Linked DNA regions of Callithrix jacchus. The protein of the gene in region 3 binds, or shares a complex with, the protein of the main gene of each other region. Links are inferred from orthologs where the notes say so. Each region holds a gene or a part of one and is shown on either strand. Other genes may lie near its edges.

The links.
Region 1: the proteins of PAK4 (region 3) and INKA1 are in contact, whole or in part, in a crystal structure (PDB 4XBU), measured with the Homo sapiens proteins. The link is inferred for Callithrix jacchus from reciprocal best matches to the Homo sapiens genes PAK4 and INKA1. Residues at the interface, in NP_001014831.1 of Homo sapiens: Ser331, Gln358, Arg359, Glu361, Leu362, Thr404, Asp440, Lys442, Ser443, Asp444, Phe461, Leu475, Val476, Gly477, Thr478, Pro479, Tyr480, Trp481, Met482, Arg489, Glu507, Glu512, Phe516, Asn517, Glu518, Pro519, Pro520, Met524; in NP_976248.2 of Homo sapiens: Gly178, Arg179, Ser180, Arg181, Gln182, Pro183, Leu184, Val185, Leu186, Gly187, Asp188, Asn189, Cys190.
Region 2: the proteins of PAK4 (region 3) and ITGB5 are in contact, whole or in part, in a crystal structure (PDB 7S46), measured with the Homo sapiens proteins. The link is inferred for Callithrix jacchus from reciprocal best matches to the Homo sapiens genes PAK4 and ITGB5. Residues at the interface, in NP_001014831.1 of Homo sapiens: Gly330, Ser331, Gln358, Arg359, Leu362, Thr404, Lys442, Ser443, Asp444, Asp458, Phe461, Leu475, Val476, Gly477, Thr478, Pro479, Tyr480, Trp481, Met482, Glu507, Glu512, Phe516, Asn517, Glu518, Pro519, Pro520, Met524; in NP_002204.2 of Homo sapiens: Ser762, Arg763, Ala764, Arg765, Tyr766, Glu767, Met768, Ala769, Ser770.

The regions. Positions count from the first base shown.
Region 1 is NC_133516.1:32,415,617-32,420,617, reverse strand, and holds INKA1 (PAK4-inhibitor INKA1), read right to left. Parts: upstream 3,222-5,001; 5' UTR 3,092-3,221; coding exon of another isoform or gene 3,041-3,091; 5' UTR 2,952-3,040; coding exon 2,847-2,951; intron 2,316-2,846; coding exon 1,515-2,315; 3' UTR 1,472-1,514; downstream 1-1,471. Other genes in the region: UBA7 (ubiquitin-like modifier-activating enzyme 7), read left to right, coding at 315-407, 484-584, 1,042-1,171. UniProt on the Homo sapiens protein: Inhibitor of the serine/threonine-protein kinase PAK4. Acts by binding PAK4 in a substrate-like manner, inhibiting the protein kinase activity.
Region 2 is NC_133516.1:78,130,066-78,135,766, forward strand, and holds the start of ITGB5 (integrin beta-5), read left to right. Parts: upstream 1-1,930; 5' UTR 1,931-2,294; coding exon 2,295-2,364; intron 2,365-2,645; exon of another isoform or gene 2,646-3,700; intron 3,701-5,701.
Region 3 is NC_133523.1:34,651,803-34,657,387, reverse strand, and holds the start of PAK4 (serine/threonine-protein kinase PAK 4), read right to left. Parts: upstream 3,593-5,585; 5' UTR 3,463-3,592; intron 3,327-3,462; exon of another isoform or gene 3,191-3,326; intron 1-3,190. UniProt on the Homo sapiens protein: Serine/threonine-protein kinase that plays a role in a variety of different signaling pathways including cytoskeleton regulation, cell adhesion turnover, cell migration, growth, proliferation or cell survival.

The DNA.
Region 1 (5,001 bases), on a different chromosome or scaffold from region 3:
GCTTTATCGGAGGCTGCAGAGGCCCTGCTCTGGGTTTCCTCAGGAAGCACCACCCCTCAGCCCCCACCCTCACGACCGGCCCATGTGATGGATTGTCTGTTTCCCTGTGTGGGCCCCATAGCCCCATTTCCTGTGCTGGCCCCAGCCTGGGCAGGGAGGGGGCTGAGACTCTGGGCCCAGATCCCACCTCTCCCCCCACCCCCTGGCTCCTGCTTCCTGCCAGTCCAGCTCTTCCCCTAGGAAAGGCTACTGGTAACTGGGATGGGGGTGGGGGGAGGTAAGAAGTCTCTCACTACTCCCCTACCTCACCCCAGTTCCATCACCTGAAGTGGACCTGTTGGGACCGTCTGAAGATACCGGCTGGGCAACCTGAGAGGACCCTGGAGTCGCTGTTGGCTCATCTTCAGGTGTGCCCTGTCCCTACCCCACCCCCTAGGCTCAGCCCAGCCTGGCCCAGTTGGTTTCTGACCTTTCTCCCTCTAGGAGCAGCACGGTTTGAGGGTGAGGATGCTGCTGCACCACCCAGCCCTGCTCTATTCAGCCAGATGGTCACCTGAAAAGCAGGCCCAGTGCCTGCCCCTCAGGTGAGCCCACTCAGGGCTTTAGACAGGCCCCACCAGTCCCTGGAGGCTGGGGCTAGGGGCCACACAGCCTTTCAGCTTCCCAGCCCCATTCTGGGCCCCTCACACCTCCCAAGCATTCTTTCACCAAATGGAGCCAGCAAATGGGCTGGGGGTGGGGTGAGGGCTGAGAGCCTGAGGAGGAGCCTTCAGGAGCTGCCTATTTGGCCAGCCCCACAGGCTCCCCACATGCTGTACAGCCCCTTTCACAGCCCACTCCCAAGGGACCCACAGCTTCCTGCCTCCCACTTGCCTCACCAGCTGCTCCTAAAATAGTTTCAGATGTTTCCTGTCTTGAGCGGCTCCTGCTCCTGGCCTGGGCTCCTGACGGCCCGCTAGCACCCTCCCTAGTCCATGCCAGTCTGCCCTCTGCTTGCCATTGCTCACCTACCCAATCTTCCCTAAACCCCACCCCCACCAGGGTGACAGAACTGGTTCAGCGGGTGACAGGTCAGGTACCTGCTCCTGGGCTGCGAGTGTTGGTGCTGCAGCTGAGCTGTGAGGATGAGGAGGAGGACACTGCCTTCCCACCTCTGCACTATGAGCTGTGACAAGGCAGCCACCACGTCACCTAGCTCAATGGAGCCCTATATCCCAAGCCCTCCATTGTAAGCCCACAGTAGGCACTCAATAAATGCTGTTGAAGGAAGGCATAGTGGAGAGGATGGATGATAGAACACAATGCAGTAATGCACACGGGTGTGACATGGGCAACACAGGGACCCTCACACGGAAACAAAAAGCTCTTCAGTAGATTCGTATGCCTGGGCTGTGCCTCACAGGGCTGGGGCTGCCTCTTAGCGCCTCAGGGGTATGGCCTCTTAGCGCTTCAGGGGTATGGAACCAGGACAGTCTAGAAAAAAGGCTTTTATTGTCCCAGGCTGGAAGGCAGGGTCAGAGGTAGCTGACATCATTGCAGATGATGGGCTGGCGGCTTCGGCAGCTCATGAGGGCTGCAAAGCGTGAAACGTCTGTAGGCAGTTCAGTTTCTGGGCGAGGTGGGCATGACAGCCGCTTTCCTGCCATAGCTGTCCGCCGAGCCCTGGCCAGCCGGCGACGAAGCTGCTCAGAGAGGCCAAGCAGGAACTGAGGGGGTCGAGCACGGGCACGGGGCCCACCTCTGTCACCCACTTCACTCCCTGTCTCAGGCAGCTCCATCCAGTTGTGCACCAAGTCAGCAAAGCAATTGTCCCCCAGTACCAGGGGCTGGCGACTACGACCCCTGTTCAGTAGGGCTGCTGTCCAGTCCTCTGCTTCCAGTTCCTGCCAGTGCTCCAGGCAGGCGTCTGGGGTGGACTTGGGCCGTGGACGGCGGCTAGGTGGTGCACTGGCTACTGGGGCTCTGCCAGCCATGGGGAGGCCACTGACTGAGAGGCGCTGCCTACAAAGGGGCTGTGCTGAGGGTGCTGGGCGTTGGGGTACAGGCAGTTCTTCCTCTCGCCATGTGCTGCCCGACACCTCGGAGAAGCCAGAGTCCCAGTCCAGGGCATGCTCCCTGGGGCCTCCCAAGGCTGCGCCCCTGTCTTCTGTCACCACTGCTTCCTCCTCTTCCTCCTCCTCCACACAGCAGACTGAGTCCTCTTCCAAGGCACCTGAGGCCCTAAGCTGGTGGCTGGGCTGCACATCTGGGCCAGTTTGGGGGGTTGGCTGCAGGGAGCCAGGCATTGGGGGTGAGCCTGTGTCCCGGCCACACAGCTGAGGGGAAGAGAGGGTAGAAGTCGGAGAGGTATCACTTGTCACCCCTTCCTGCCTGCCTGCCAGGCCAGCCCAGAAAAGAGAGGGTTCAGCCGGGTGCTAGTGAGCACAGGGCAGGCATGGGGGTGTTGGCACTTGAAGCTGGTGTGGTTCTCATCCTCCGACCTGGTGGCAGTCCGGCAGGCTGCAGCACGTAGGGCCGGGCAAGTCGTCACCCGCCACCAGGGCCGGCGGGCAGGCGGGCAGGCAGGGTTGCGGGCCTGAACGGGGAAGTAGGTCTTGCCCAGGACTGGAGGGGCATCCCATGCCTATTGAGGGATTCAGTTCCCCGAAGCGTCTTTCAGAGAAAGATCGCTTGCTAGCTGAGGGGTAGAGAAGGGAGGCACAAACCAGCCTGAAGTAGGGGGCGTTCACAGCAGCGCCAGCACCTCGTGAGTCCCTTGCCGCCCCATGCCCCGTCCCCAAAGAAGTCCCCTTTCTACTCTCTCCTCCCGCGCAGTTCCAGCAGCACGGCCAGCTGGGTTCTGTTACCTGATGCCCAGCGCAGTTCCCAACTGTCCGAAACCCAACACGGGCCATCTGGGCCATAGGCGCCGCGCCGCCCCCACCCTGCCTCGGACTGGTGGGGCACACCATCCACCCAGCACCCGTTTGGTGTTCGGGCCGGGCGGTAGCCTGGCACCCCGCACGCGTCCTCACGAACCGCACCCGCTCCCAAGCCTCACCAGTTCCCAGCGGAGCTGGCTGAGGAAGCTGTCAAGCCGAGCGCTGTGCATGTCCGTGCCGAGGTCCCCACCGAGCCTGCCAGCTGCTCTGGGAACCCCGGCGGAGCGGCGCTGAGCGGGCTGGGCGGGCCGGCCAGCGGCGCCCTCAGCCTCCGCCTGGCTGCGCGGCTCCTCGCTCTCCGTAGCTCCTGCAGCAGCCGCCCGGACATCTGGCATCAGCGCCCCGCCCCGGCCCCGCAGCCAAACGGGGCGGGGCTAAAGCTCTGCATCCCTCCCGACTCCGCCGCGGCTCTTGGGGGGAAGGGAGGGGTCGTAGCTGGAAGTCGGACTGGGTCGGGCCGGGGACCCTCGATCCCCCAGACAGTTGAGCAGACCCTGCGTTTGCTGCGTGACGCAGAGCAGGTCGCCTCATTGTGGGGGCCTCACCCTCCCCATTTGTTCTATGGTGGAATAGCGGTCCCTCCCACGGGGCGCCGTGCTGCGCCCGCCTGTAGGCAGAGCGCCAAGGATGGTCGGACCCAGAGAGGTTGTGGCCCACTAGGGTTCTGACCCACGGGACCTGTTCCTGAGGCTGCCCTCGGCGCTCCGTGGACGGGATGGAAGTGGGGTTCGGCCCGACTGAGGATTCAGAGAGCGCGGGATTTTGTGGCAGCGCATCCGCGGGGCCTCAGTCGCGTCCCAACCAAGTTGGAGGGCGTCCAACCACTAGACGGGACTGCCCTCTAGTGGGGAGTGCTCGGCTAGCCGCGAGTCCAGCGGCGACACGCGACCATGACATTCCCTCTGCCGGTACCAGGTGCAAGCTGAGGGTCGGTACAGGGGTGAGCCTGTCTCCTGAGGCTGCTCTATCATCACAGGCTAGGCTTAAGTGTAGTGTAGTTGCAGACAGACTGGACATACCAGCAACAGGAAAATACCAGGGAATGAGGGCTGTGGGCTATCTTGGGGAAGGACAGTCTCAGGAGGTGACATCAGGATGCACTCAAGAAGAGGGGCATTCTAGACAGAAGGAGCAGCCAGGGAGAAGACCCCGAGGGACAGGAACTGTACATAAAGAAGGTCCAGGTGTCTGTGATTGTTGGTGGTGGCAGGAAGGAAAAGGTCAGCAAAACCAGGCTTGGTGTGATGAGAAGCAATGGGGGCCTTTGAACAGGAATCGCCTGGGCTAGCCCTTGTTTAGATAATTCCAGCTGCTTTCAGAAAAGGATTCTGCAATAAGAGTGGAGGCCCCTGCCCTAATCCAGGCAAGGAAGGGGAAGACCTAGACCTGGACGGGGCAAGTGCACTGAAGGGGGTCACTTTGGGGTATGTTTTGGAGCCAAAGTCAAGTCTTGCTGATGCATGGATGTGGGCAGGAAAAGAGAGGTGTCAAGCATGACTCCTACATTTCTGGCATTAACAGCTGGTTGGATGAAATTGCCATAAACTGATCTGGGAAAGACTGGAGAAGAGTGGGTTTGGAGAGGAAAATTCAGTGATCATTTATTGACATGTAACCCTTGAGATGCCTGTTAGACATTCAAGTGTAGTTGCAGGGTCAGCTGCTAGGTGTATGACTCTAGACTTCAGGAGACAGATCAGCACTGGAGCCTTGGATCTGGGAGGCATAGGAGAGAATGGATGGTATGTAAGGCCATAGGCCCGGATGAGGTGGGGTGGGAGATGAATGCAGACAGAGGGGAACAGCAACCAAGATCGTGTCCTGGAACATTCCACGAGGTGGAAGTAGGGGAGATATGAAGCAGCACTATCAAAGAGGCTGAGCAGGAACAGCCAGGAGAAATATGAGAGCGTGGGGACTCAGGAGCCAAGGGGAACAAGCACTGAATGCTGCCAAGGCAGTGAGGATGAAGAACAAACCACTGGATTCTGCAGTGCATAGGTCATTGGGAACCCCGACAAGGGAAGTTTTGTGTAGAGATGGACGAACCTTATTAGAATGTGTAGAGAAGAGAGTGAGG
Region 2 (5,701 bases), on a different chromosome or scaffold from region 3:
AGATAAGAGACAAAAGGTTGCATTCTTTTGAGTCCTGGATAAGCTTTCCACAGAATAATTTAGTCTGGCTCAGTGAATCTGTATGTTCACACAAACAATAGGGAGGAGGGAGCAATCGGATATTCTTTTGTCTCAGATGAGCCTCAGAGGGATGGCTTTGAGTTCTGTCTGTCCTTCCTCCACAAGGACTTCCTGTAGGCAAATTGTGAGGGAGGTATGTAGCTTCTTAACTTTGTAGCTATCTTATTTAGGAACAGAATGGGAGGCAGGTTTGCCTGACATGGTTCCCAGATTGACTTTTCTCCTGGCTTAGTGATTTTGGGGCCCCAAGATTTATTTTCCTTTCACAAATACTATAAAGGAGCTTGCTATGGACTGCTGCATCTTTGCACCCAGGCACACTATACTGTACTTCAAGAAGTTTACTTCCTCAGGAATTGAGGCACCACCTTGTTAGAGTTTGGGAGGAGGTGACAAATAAAGGTTAACATCCAAACTCCTTAAGCTGGGCAGGTAGGACAGTTTTCCACTGGGCCCTCCAAGCCATTCTCCCACCTGGTCCCTGACCTACAAAGGTGAGACCCCTTTGTTCTTTAGCCCTTACTGCTTCCGTTTTAGCCAAGCCATGCTGCACTTTTGAACAAGGCATCCCAGCTGTCACTTCCTCCAGCAGTTAACCCCTCTGTCCCTCCGTTTCCTCAACTGGATAACGGTAGGGTTTATCGGGAGGATGAAATGAGTTAATAAGGGTAAAGCACTTAGAACAGTGCCTGACTGGCAGTGAGCTCTCTGTACGTGGTAGGTATTCTATTGTAACTTCCCCTACCTTCTCCCTCTTGACTACAAACCACTTGCTGTAGCCAAGCCAAACCCAAGGGATCTTTTGCGGCACCAACTCAAGAAGACCCCACCCCACTCCTCATTGGCCAATTCAGATCCAGCTCATACGTAAATGATAAATTGAAAGCCTGAGGACATGCTTTTGAGTCTGTTTGATCATGGAAACTGACAGGTTATCAGTAAGGAAAACGAAGTATAGCGGCATATTGGCCAGTCTCAAATCCCTGAAAGGTGCAAACGTTAAAAAGTGAAAAGGGGCCGGGCGAGGTGGCTCACGCCTATCATCTCAGCACTTTAGGAGGCAGACACAGGAAGACTGCTTGGGCCCAGGAGTTCGAGATTAGCCTGGGCAACACAGCAAGACCCCCATCTCTAAAAACATGTAAAAATTGTCCGGGTGTGGTGGTGCTCGCCTGTAGTCCCAGAGACTCAGGAGGCTAAGGCAGAGGTTCCCTTGAGTCCAGGAAGTCCAGGCTGCAGTGAGCCGAGATTGGGCCATTGCACCCCAGCCGGAGTGAGAGCGAGATGCAGTTAAAAAAAAAAAAAAAAAAAAAAAAAAAAGGTGAAACCTAGGTTTTACCTGTGCCTCCACGCCCCACTGTGCCCTCCCTTGCCCATCCAGAAGTCGCCTTGAGGTTCCACGCACGGGCGGCTACGTCCCACCTTGGGCGAAGGCCGCCGGCCGTGCGGCTTTGGGAGGAGGAGTGGCCCCGGCCCGACCCCAGTACCTGCTCTCCCTCTCGCAGTCTAGCAACTGTCTTTGGCCCAAGTAATATCCGCTCCCTTCCCGTGGCGACTGGGGGCTAAGCAACCCGAGCGGGCTCTACTCAGTGTTTTCGAGCCCCCCACGCCTCCAGTGAGCCGCAAGCGACTTCCACCTGGGCCAGTCCGGCCTCCGCGTCCCGGGCCGGTCCCCGCACAGGGCGGAGCTGGCCCGGCCCGGAGCTCGCCCCGCCCCGCCTCGCCGTAAGCTGACCGTGTGGCGGCCGGGCGGGGGCCTGGCAGGGGAGAGAAGGGGAGGAGAAAGGAGAGGAGGAAAGTGGAGCCTGGCGGGCCGGAGGGAGGAAAGGAAGGGGCGGAGGCGAAGGGCAGAGTGTGCCGGCGCGCGGGGGAGCCTCGGCGCGGGGCGCGTCTAGGAGCCCAAGTCGCGGCCGCGGAGCGGAGCCAGCCCCTCCCCTGCCTAGAGCCGACCGCCAGGGCCGTCCCGAGCCGCGACACCCCAGGCGTCCCGGCCCGCCAGCCAGGGCAGCCGAGGCCCCGGGACTCGGCCGTGAGCGCTGCGGGAGGGATGGTGGCGGCGGGGCGCGGGCCAGAGCGGGCGCCGTGAGCCGGAGCTGCGCGCGGGGCATGCGGCTGCGGCCCCCAGCCCTCGGCCCCCGCGCTCCGGCCCCCGCCCGCCCGCACGCCCCCGCGGAGTGCAGCGCCCTCGCCGCCGCTGAGGCAGGCGCCCCACCATGCCGCGGGCCCCAGCGCCGCTGTACGCCTGCCTCCTGGGGCTCTGCGCGCTCCTGCCCCGGCTCGCAGGTAAGCCGCGTCGCCCGCGGTGCCTAAAGAAACTTTGTCGCGCACACAGCCGCGGGCGGGCGTCTCGGAGGGGCGGGGAGCGCCCCCGGGGCAGTCCCTGGTGGGCCAGTCGCTTGGGGACAGCCCCGCTGGGCTCTCCCGAACTGCGTGCGCCAACCCCGGCGCGCAGTCCCGCCGGGCTGTCGGGAGTCGCCTGTCCCCTCCCGGGCTGAGGAGGAGCTTCCCTTCCTGTGTAAACAGCCCGGCCCGTCTGCTGACCTAGCCCGTCCGCGCCCGCGCCCAGGGCACGGGGAGGACCGCCACCAGCCCTGACTTAGGGCCCGGGCTCTCCGTTCACGGGCACAAAGCGACCCTTGTGGCCGGCCGGGGACAGGCAAGGGGGGGTGCTGCTGGTGCCCGGTTCTCGGGGAAGCAAGAGAGACTCGAAGCCCCAGCCAAAGCCCGGGGCCACCTCCGCTCCGGAGGGCTCGTCTCCTGAAACGCGGGGGCACAGGGCCCCGAGCGAATCCTGGAATTCGCTGCGCCTAGACCAGCCGCCTTCGTTTGAAGATGCAGCCCTCTCCCCGCCTGCTTCCTCCTCACCCTCACCCAGAAAACCGCAAACCCGAGGGGGAACCTGCGTCCCAAACCGCGGCCCCACCTGGGACTGTATCATATTCCTTCTGCCCGACTTTCTCCCGAGATTTGCACACACTCCGAGCCTCACACTCCCCTAACTGTGGTGGATTCTGGAGCCGAGGACAGGGGCTGTGGAAATTGCCTTAGCCCGACGCTGTCGTGGGTTGGCATCTGCGAGGATCCCTCGGTTACCTGCTCTTAGTTTTCGGCGTTGAGAGAGGACCAGACGTGGCAGTTCGGAGGCCCTCGAGGAAGGATGCACTTGTTTGGGATGCGGACTTTCTCCTTTCCTTTGGGAAATAAGAGTGCTCTATTCACTTTCCAGCCGGAGATACTCGATTGCTCTTGTGAGCCAAGTGGTTGCCTGGATGCCAGAGGGGAGGACTGTTCCCCCAGGCTGTCTCATTTACATGAAGGCTGTGGAGGTTTAGGTTTAAGAGTGGAAGAGGGGTCTGAGTAAACAAAAAATTTGTTCAGACCCTACTTAAAACGTAATACTGTAGCAAGGTTTTGTTTTTAGTTTTAAATGGGAAAATAACTCCAGAGCTTGGAGTAGATGTGTGGATTCCAAACACCCATCCGGCAGCCAGTGCCCATCATGGATATTTTCATGGGTCCCTAGGGAAAGCAAAGAGAAGGGAGAAGTATCCCGCAACACACGGGAATGTATTGTTGTCAACACTTCCCTGCTCCACAAGGACTTTCCTTTAGTTTGAAAGTAGGCACTTTTTCTTTTTTGGGGGGAAATGTTCCTTTAATACTTTTTAGTGATAATAGATTTTAATTTTGGCAAAATAAGAAAATCTGGCAATCCTATGTTAACCTCCCCTTCTCTTTTTCTGTTTCTTTTTTGTTTTTAAATCCTAGTTTTCTTTGAAAATCAGAAGTTTAGAAACTGCCAAAGGAGATGGCTTCTAAGTTCCTCTCCAGCTTGACATTCTGTAATTCTGATAAACAGAATTATAATAATTTCCAGTTGCAATTTTTTTTTTTTAAGTCAGAGTTTCACTCTTGTAGCCCAGTCTGTAGTGCATTGGTGCCATCTCGGCTCACTGCAACCTCCACCTCTCAGGTTCAAGCGATTCTCCGGCCTTAGTCTCTGGAGTAGCAGGGATTACAGGCACCACCAGCATGTCTGACTAATTTTTGTATTTTTAGTGAAGTCAGGGTTTTACCAGGTTGGCCGGGCAGGTGTTGAACTCTTGACCTCAGGTGATTTGCCTGCCTTGGCCCCCCAAAGTGCTGGGATTAAAGGCATAAGCCACCGTGCCAGGCCGCAAATAATTTTAAAAAAATACATTATTTTCCACTTGCATCGTGCTTTCTGTTTTTCAAAGTTCACATCTTCACAGTGATGTCCATTTTCTCACCTGGGCTCAGGAAGGAAGTGACTTGCCGTTCCCCTGTACTTGGATCAGGAGTGGTGAACCAGGGACAGGGTTGGTCCAGTGCCCTTTGTCCTATCTGACTCAGCGTAGGGAGGAGAAAAACACTGAGCATAGTGGTTCATTTGCAACTCTTTCGGGTTCCCTTTTCCCATGGCTCATCTCTCTCTTTTTTTTTTGAGACGGAGTTTTGCTCCTGTTGCCCAAGCTGGAGTGCAATGGCACCATATCAGCTCACTGCAACCTCTGCCTCCCAGGTTCAAGTGATTCTCTTACCTCAGCCTCCTGAGTAGTTGGGATTACAGGCATGCGCCACCACACCTGGTTAATTTTGTATTTTTAGAAGAGACGACGTTTATCCATGTTGGTCAGGCTGGTCTCAAACTCAGGTGATCCGCCTGCCTCGGCCTCCGAAAGTGCTGGGATTACAGGTGTGAGCCACCACACCCAGCCTCCGCCCATTTCTTTGACCACCGGTTTTGATGGTGGTAGTGGAGCAAGCCATGTCACTGGCCTCCAGAACTTGCTGCTTACCTCTTAAGGCCGTGAAGCTTCTCAGGGTTAGCAGAGGCTGACTCACATCTGTGTGATGTCTCCTAGTTTCTCCGTGTTGCTGAATTAACTTCAACATTCTGGTATTTTTTTTCTTCCCTCACCTTCTTCTTGAAGCACTACGGGTACTTTATTCAGGGTGTGTTTCTGTCTTGCTACGAGAAACATGATTTGAAAGAAAAAAACTTACTCCGAGAAAAGAAAGATGACCCTCAAGGCCATGCCTGCCTGGGTGTCCCTGGACCAGTGGCTGAGTGGCTCTCTCTGTTACTCTAACCTCACTTTCATCTCAGTCAGATTTCCAACGGGAAACTGACCTTAGGTTTCAGGGACTTATTTCAAACAAGTCCCTGGCCGGCTGACAACCCCTTCCCGACCCTACCAAGGGTTATCTCCTGCTCTCTCTATTAACTTATGGCCAAGAGACTGCAGACCGAACCCTAGGACCTGGTCATCCCACAAAACCAGGGCTCTCACTGAGGTGAGGCTTTTCCACACTGCCTTTGCCAAGACAGAGAGGAGCACCGTCTTGATTCTGCAACACCACTGGAATTATGTGTGCTATCACATTCATTTCTTTTTAAAAAGCAATCAGGTGTTCTTCTAGTGAACGCCCTGCACATCCTAAAAAGCTCTTTGTTTTATTTAGTGGACTCTTGTTGTCAGCACCCTTCCCCTCCCCCTCACCCCCTACCACATTTCCTGTGATCTGTGATGGGGTTGTTGGAATCTGGCTGTGTCTGCAGCTCTTCGTAGCTAACCAGGCACTGGTTTAGAGCTGA
Region 3 (5,585 bases):
CGTCACTTGGCAACTGCAAGGAAAGGGCTCCAGCTTTTCTACTGCTAGGCACGCGCCAGAGAGACTCTGGCCATGGTCTACAAGGATACTCATTCCGGAAGGCCTGTCACCGCACCATTACAGCCCCAACAGGAGAGCACCTCAGCGGCCATCAACAGGTGAAGAGCCAACTCCCATGTGACACCATCACAAAAAGAAATAGCAGCAGAAAAAAATGAATGGCCTGGCCCAGACCGCCACATATCCCCACGGAGGGAGAGCCAGACTCCAAGGCTCAGCTCAAAGCCTGGTGCAGGGGTGTGCGCCTGTAATCCCAGCTCCTCAAGAGGCTGAAGTGGGAGGATCTTGGGTCCAGGAGTTAAGAGTTCAGTCCAGGCAACCCAGCAAGACCCCATCTCAAATACACCTAAAATGTTGAGCAAACAGAGCAAGTTGTAGAATGACATATTTATGGTGACACCATTTATCTGAACTGTGAAACGGTGGTCAGCCTCTGCTGGCCGAAGGAACTGCCCAGGCAGGGAGCTTCCAAAAGACTGAGGCCAGCCTCAGCCCAGACCAAGTAAGTTGGAAAGAAAATTTCCATGGTGGGCCTGGGCCAAAGCGTCTTTTCAAAGCTCTCTGGGGGGGTTCCACTGTGCAGCCAGGGGCAAGAGCTATTGTTGGTGAATACATCCAAAGGCAGTAAAAGCATGAAAGGCTGCAGAGGAATGGCGACTGCCAAACCCAGGACAGTGGCTGCCCCTGGAAGGGAGGGAGGAAGGGGTGTGAGGAGGAGACCCTTGGCCTCTAACCGTATCATGGTGCGCTCTGTCCCAGGCCAGAGGCTGGCTGGATGCATCAGTGTTTCATTATACTGAAAGCTCTACTTTTTCCCCTAGCCCAGTGTGTCGAAGGAATAAAAGTGGCAAATAAGAAATCATTTGTCCAAGGTTGGTAAGTGACAAGGGAGGGACCTGAATATGGGTCTCCAATGCCCAAACCCTATCCTTCCTTATCTGTGCCAAACGCCGAGATGCTGAGTGAGCTGGCACCGCAAGGCTGGGAGTCTGGGCCAGCTTCAGAGGGCTGCCTGGCAGTGTGCCGGCTCCCCGACCCTGCCAGAGCCAGGTGGGGATGGGGTGGCGGCCAGAGAAAGCCAGAGGCAGGAGAAGCAAGGGTCTCCACTGTCTCTCCCCAGGCAGCAGCAAGACTAATGCTTACACAGCAACTACTGGATGCGGGGCCTTGGGCCACAGCTCTCTACCTGGCATCCTCACAGCAATTCTATGAGGCAATGCTAACGCTATGCCCATTTTGCAGAAGAGGAAACAGAGGTCCTCACGCACCCTGTGAGTGATGGAGCAGGGTATGTACCAGGCATCGCTGGCCCAGCACTGCTCTCCGAATCACACTCCATCACAGCCTCACGAAGCTCCACACACCGGTACTCCTCAGCCCTCCGCTGCTCCCACTGTCCCTCCCAGGATGAGAGCCCCCTCAGGGTCTCACCAGGAACCTGCACAGACTCTGTTGCCCTGGATCCCCAACTCTGCAGGGCCTCTGCACACTGCTCCTCTGAGCCCATGCCCAGCCCTCCTCTTCATCCTTCAGAGCCTTCCTAGGGGAAAGGGACTTGGGCTTCAGCCCAGGGTAGGGGCACCCTCCCAGCTCCCTGCTGGCTGAGGGGCTGATTCCACTCTGCTCCCAAGGGGAATGAGTGCCCGCTGAGGCTGGGGGCTCTCCGGGTCTTGTCCCCTGCCCCACTCCCAGCACCTGGTGCAGTGCCCAACAGTCAACCCCCAGCAACGTCATATCCTCTGCAGGCCAGGCAGGGCTTCAGCGGGACCAGGACCGAGGCAAGGAAGCCCACCGAGCAATTCCGCAGGCACCCTAATAAACAAGGTAAGGAGGGAGGGAAGGGCTGGGCACACGACAGAATGAGAGCCTGCAGCCAGTGTGAGCCAGGGTGGTACCAGGCCAGCTGAGAGTGAGCGACCTGTCAGTGACAGGGGACAGGGTGGGTAAAGGATTCCCAGCAGAAGAACAGGAAGGTCAGAGAACAGGCGGAAGGTGCAGGCCCGGAGTTAGAGAACAGCAAACAGGCCAGGGAGAAACGGGCAGAGCCACAGAAGTGAGGTGGGAGGGACAGGACCACAGTGAGAGCTTAGGGTTTTAAGAACAGTGAACACCCAACTCTGCCTGGGGTACCACCCAGGGACACCCTCCCCAGTCAGAAACTCATCTGACTCCCTCACTCGGACTCCAGGCCACCCACAAACACCCCACTCCCAGAGGCACACAGGAATCTTCCCTGCCAGATCACACCCTTCCAAGTAAACCAAGACAATCTGATCCTTTCCAGGGAGTAGCCCGGCCCTGCCCAGCCCCCTGCTTCCAGGAGAGACCGAATGGCTGGCTGCGGACAAGGTGGCAACCAGGGGCAGGAGCCCTGGAATCACTCAGGCCCAGCTTCGATTCTCACTCTGCCTTCAGCAGAAGCTTCTGAGCCTCACTTTTCCCGTCTGTAAAGTAGGTTGGTCCTGAGCACTCACTTCACAAGAGTGCAGCAGGAGTGAAATAAGACCGCCGCGCACACAGGGTGTGGAGCACGGTGTGAGCCCTCATTAAACGTTAACCGACGTTCTGATGACTTCAGAGGCGTCGGCCAGAGGAGGGCTCTGGGCCAGAACTCCGGAGTTGGAATTCCAGCGCACAACTTATGCATCGGGTGACCTTGGGCAAATCACGTTACCTCTTAACACCAGGTTAAGACCCTCTAAGGCTGTAGTGAGGGCTGAATAAGCCAATACAAGCAAAGTGTTAAAAAGAGGGTCTAGCCCATAGTAAGTGCTTCATTAGTGTTTCCTATTATTATTATTTGCGGGAGGGTTCCCCCTTCTCCAGCCACCAGGAAGCATCTCTAACCACGCCCCTGGATTCCCCACCCGGCCCCCGGTCCCCTGCAATAGGCTCCTCCTTGGGTTTTAATTTCTGAGTCTGGAAAACACCTGCCGTACTGTCAGATTCTGACCTTTGCACCTTCTAGGCACGCCCCAACTTTGATGCCCTAAAAGATGCCCCCGAACCTAAAACTCATTCATCTGCTCCTCTGGGGGCAGTTTTAAACCTCCAACCTGGCGCCCCCGTGGCTGTGACCTCTGACCCTCGTAGGCGCAGCCTCCCCTCAAATTATAAACTTTGACCCTACCTTTATTGAGATTTGCCCAGATCCCCTCGAACGCGCACCCAATTCGAATTTCAAACTTTGCACTCCCCTTCGCCACGCCCCCTTCGCTAGTCTGACCTCCGGGCTCCACTACCCCTCCCTCCAGTCAGCGTTAACCCCCGACCCCTCGGAATCGACCCTGCCCTCCACCAGTGAACTTTGACCCCGGCGGCCCCGCCCCCTCCTCGCGGAAATGCTGTCCCGCCGCCAGCCCCAGGCCCACTACAAGCCCCTGGCTGGACGCGTTATCCTACCGGCTCGGCACCGCAGTCGCTCGCGGCCTAGATGCTTCGCCTGGAACTCCACGCCCTCGCGCCTCCTTCAGCTCTCTTGCGCCGCCGCCATCGCGGTTACTGCTGCCGCCATGTTGAATCCCCAACGAATATCCGGGGCTTTCCCCCCCTCCTCCTTCACCGCCCACCAGTCCCCATAGCAACGAAGCTGACCGGGCAGTGGGCAGGACCAGAGTGGGGGCGGAACCGGCGCTTCTCCAAGCCCGCTCCAGCCTCCGATTGGTGCAGAGCGTCCAATCGATGACATTCGGGCAGAAAATGCCAAGCGGGGATTGGAAATTTTGGAAAAGGTGCGGGAAGGCTGGCTCCCAGCCCACTGAGGTCCTTAAAGGGGAAATGACTGTTTTCGTGTGATACCGATTTCTCAACTTCCCCCTAAAAGGAGTTAGGGGCTGGGAGAGAGTAATGGGTTAATTATGGCCAGAAATAGTTCTTAAGCACTTACTCGGAGCCAGGCACCTGGATAAATGCTTTATTTGCATTTTTCTCGCTGCATACACAACCCTGTGGTATAATATAATTAATACCTGTTTTACAGATAAAGAAACAGGTTCAGAGGGTGAAATAGCTGGCTTGACATCATAGTAAGAAGGTAATGAGTTTTTAACGCTGGTCTATCTGAGCCTGGGAACCTAATACTGTTTGATCTTTAATTTTTAAATAAGTTTTTAAAAAAATAACTAGTCAAAATATTGGAAACAAACACCTGACGTCCCATTTTTAGAATTATTTTATTTTATTTTTATTTATTATTATTATTTTTGAGACGTTGTTTCGCTCTTGTTGCCCAGGCTGGAGTGCAATGTCACGATCTCGGCTCACTGCAACCTCCGCCTCCCGGGGTTCAAGAGATTCTCCTGCCTCAGCCTTCCGAGTAGCTGTAATTACAGGCATCCACCACCATGCCCGGCTAATTTTTTTGTATTTTTAGTAGAGATGAGGATTTCGCCACATGGGCCAGGCTGGTCTTGAACTACCAACCACAGTTGATCCACCCGCCTCGGCCTCTTAGAGTGCTGGGATTATAGGTGCAGGCCACCGCGTCTGGCATTTTTCTTTTATTTTTAAAGAGAAGGTTTCACCATGTTGGCCAGGCTGCTCCAACTCCTGGGCTCAAGCTATCCTCCTGCCTCAGCCTCCCAAAGTGCTGGGATTGCAGGCGTGAGCCACCGTGCCGGACCAGACAGCTTTTTTCTCCACGATCTTATTTTTTGGACGCCAGCCTTCCTGCTGTTCCTGAACACTCTCAGGTGTGCTCCCACCTCACGGTCTTTGCATTGGCTGTTCCTCTGTCTAGAACTTACTCTTCCCCTAGGTATCCTTATAGTTCCCTTCCTCCCCCCCTCTCTTTTTTTTAAATAGGTTGTTTTTTTTTTTTTTTTTTGAGACAGAGTCTCACTTTGTTTCCCAGGCTGGAGTGCAGTGGCACCATCTCGGCTCACTGCAACCTTTACCTTGCGGGTTCCTGTAAACCTCCTGAGTAGCTGGGATTATAGGCATGCACTGCCCGGCTGACTTTTGTATTTTTAGTAGAGGCGGGTTTTGCCATGTTGGCCAGGCTGGTCTTGAACTCCTGACCTCAGATGATCCAACCACCTCGGCCTCCCAAAGTGCTGGGGTTATAGGCGTGAGCCACCGCACCTGTCTCTTCCTCCCTTTTCTGGGGCTTTACACGGATGTCACTTTCTTAGTGAAATAATTCCCTTGCTCACCCGTAGGAAAGCAGCAAACATCTCTCTCCCATATTACCCAACTCTGTCTGCATTTAACTTACTGATCGTTGCTAATTGTAGTTACTGCTAGTTGGTTGTCTCCTCTGCTGGAATGTCAGCCCATGACAACATGGGTTTCTGTCTTTGTTCACTGCTGCATTCCCAGCGCCCTGGTGTGTAGATGCTCAGTAAACACTGACTGTAAATATCACCAGAAGGGATGTTTGAAATGAATGGTAAATGAATGGTGGAAGGGATGTTTGAATGAATGATAATTCCATCGCTTCAGAGATACTTTTAAATGTCTGGTGCTTCTCCTCTGCCCTAGAACATCTATATAGTAGGCATTTAATTAATTTCTACTAATGTTGG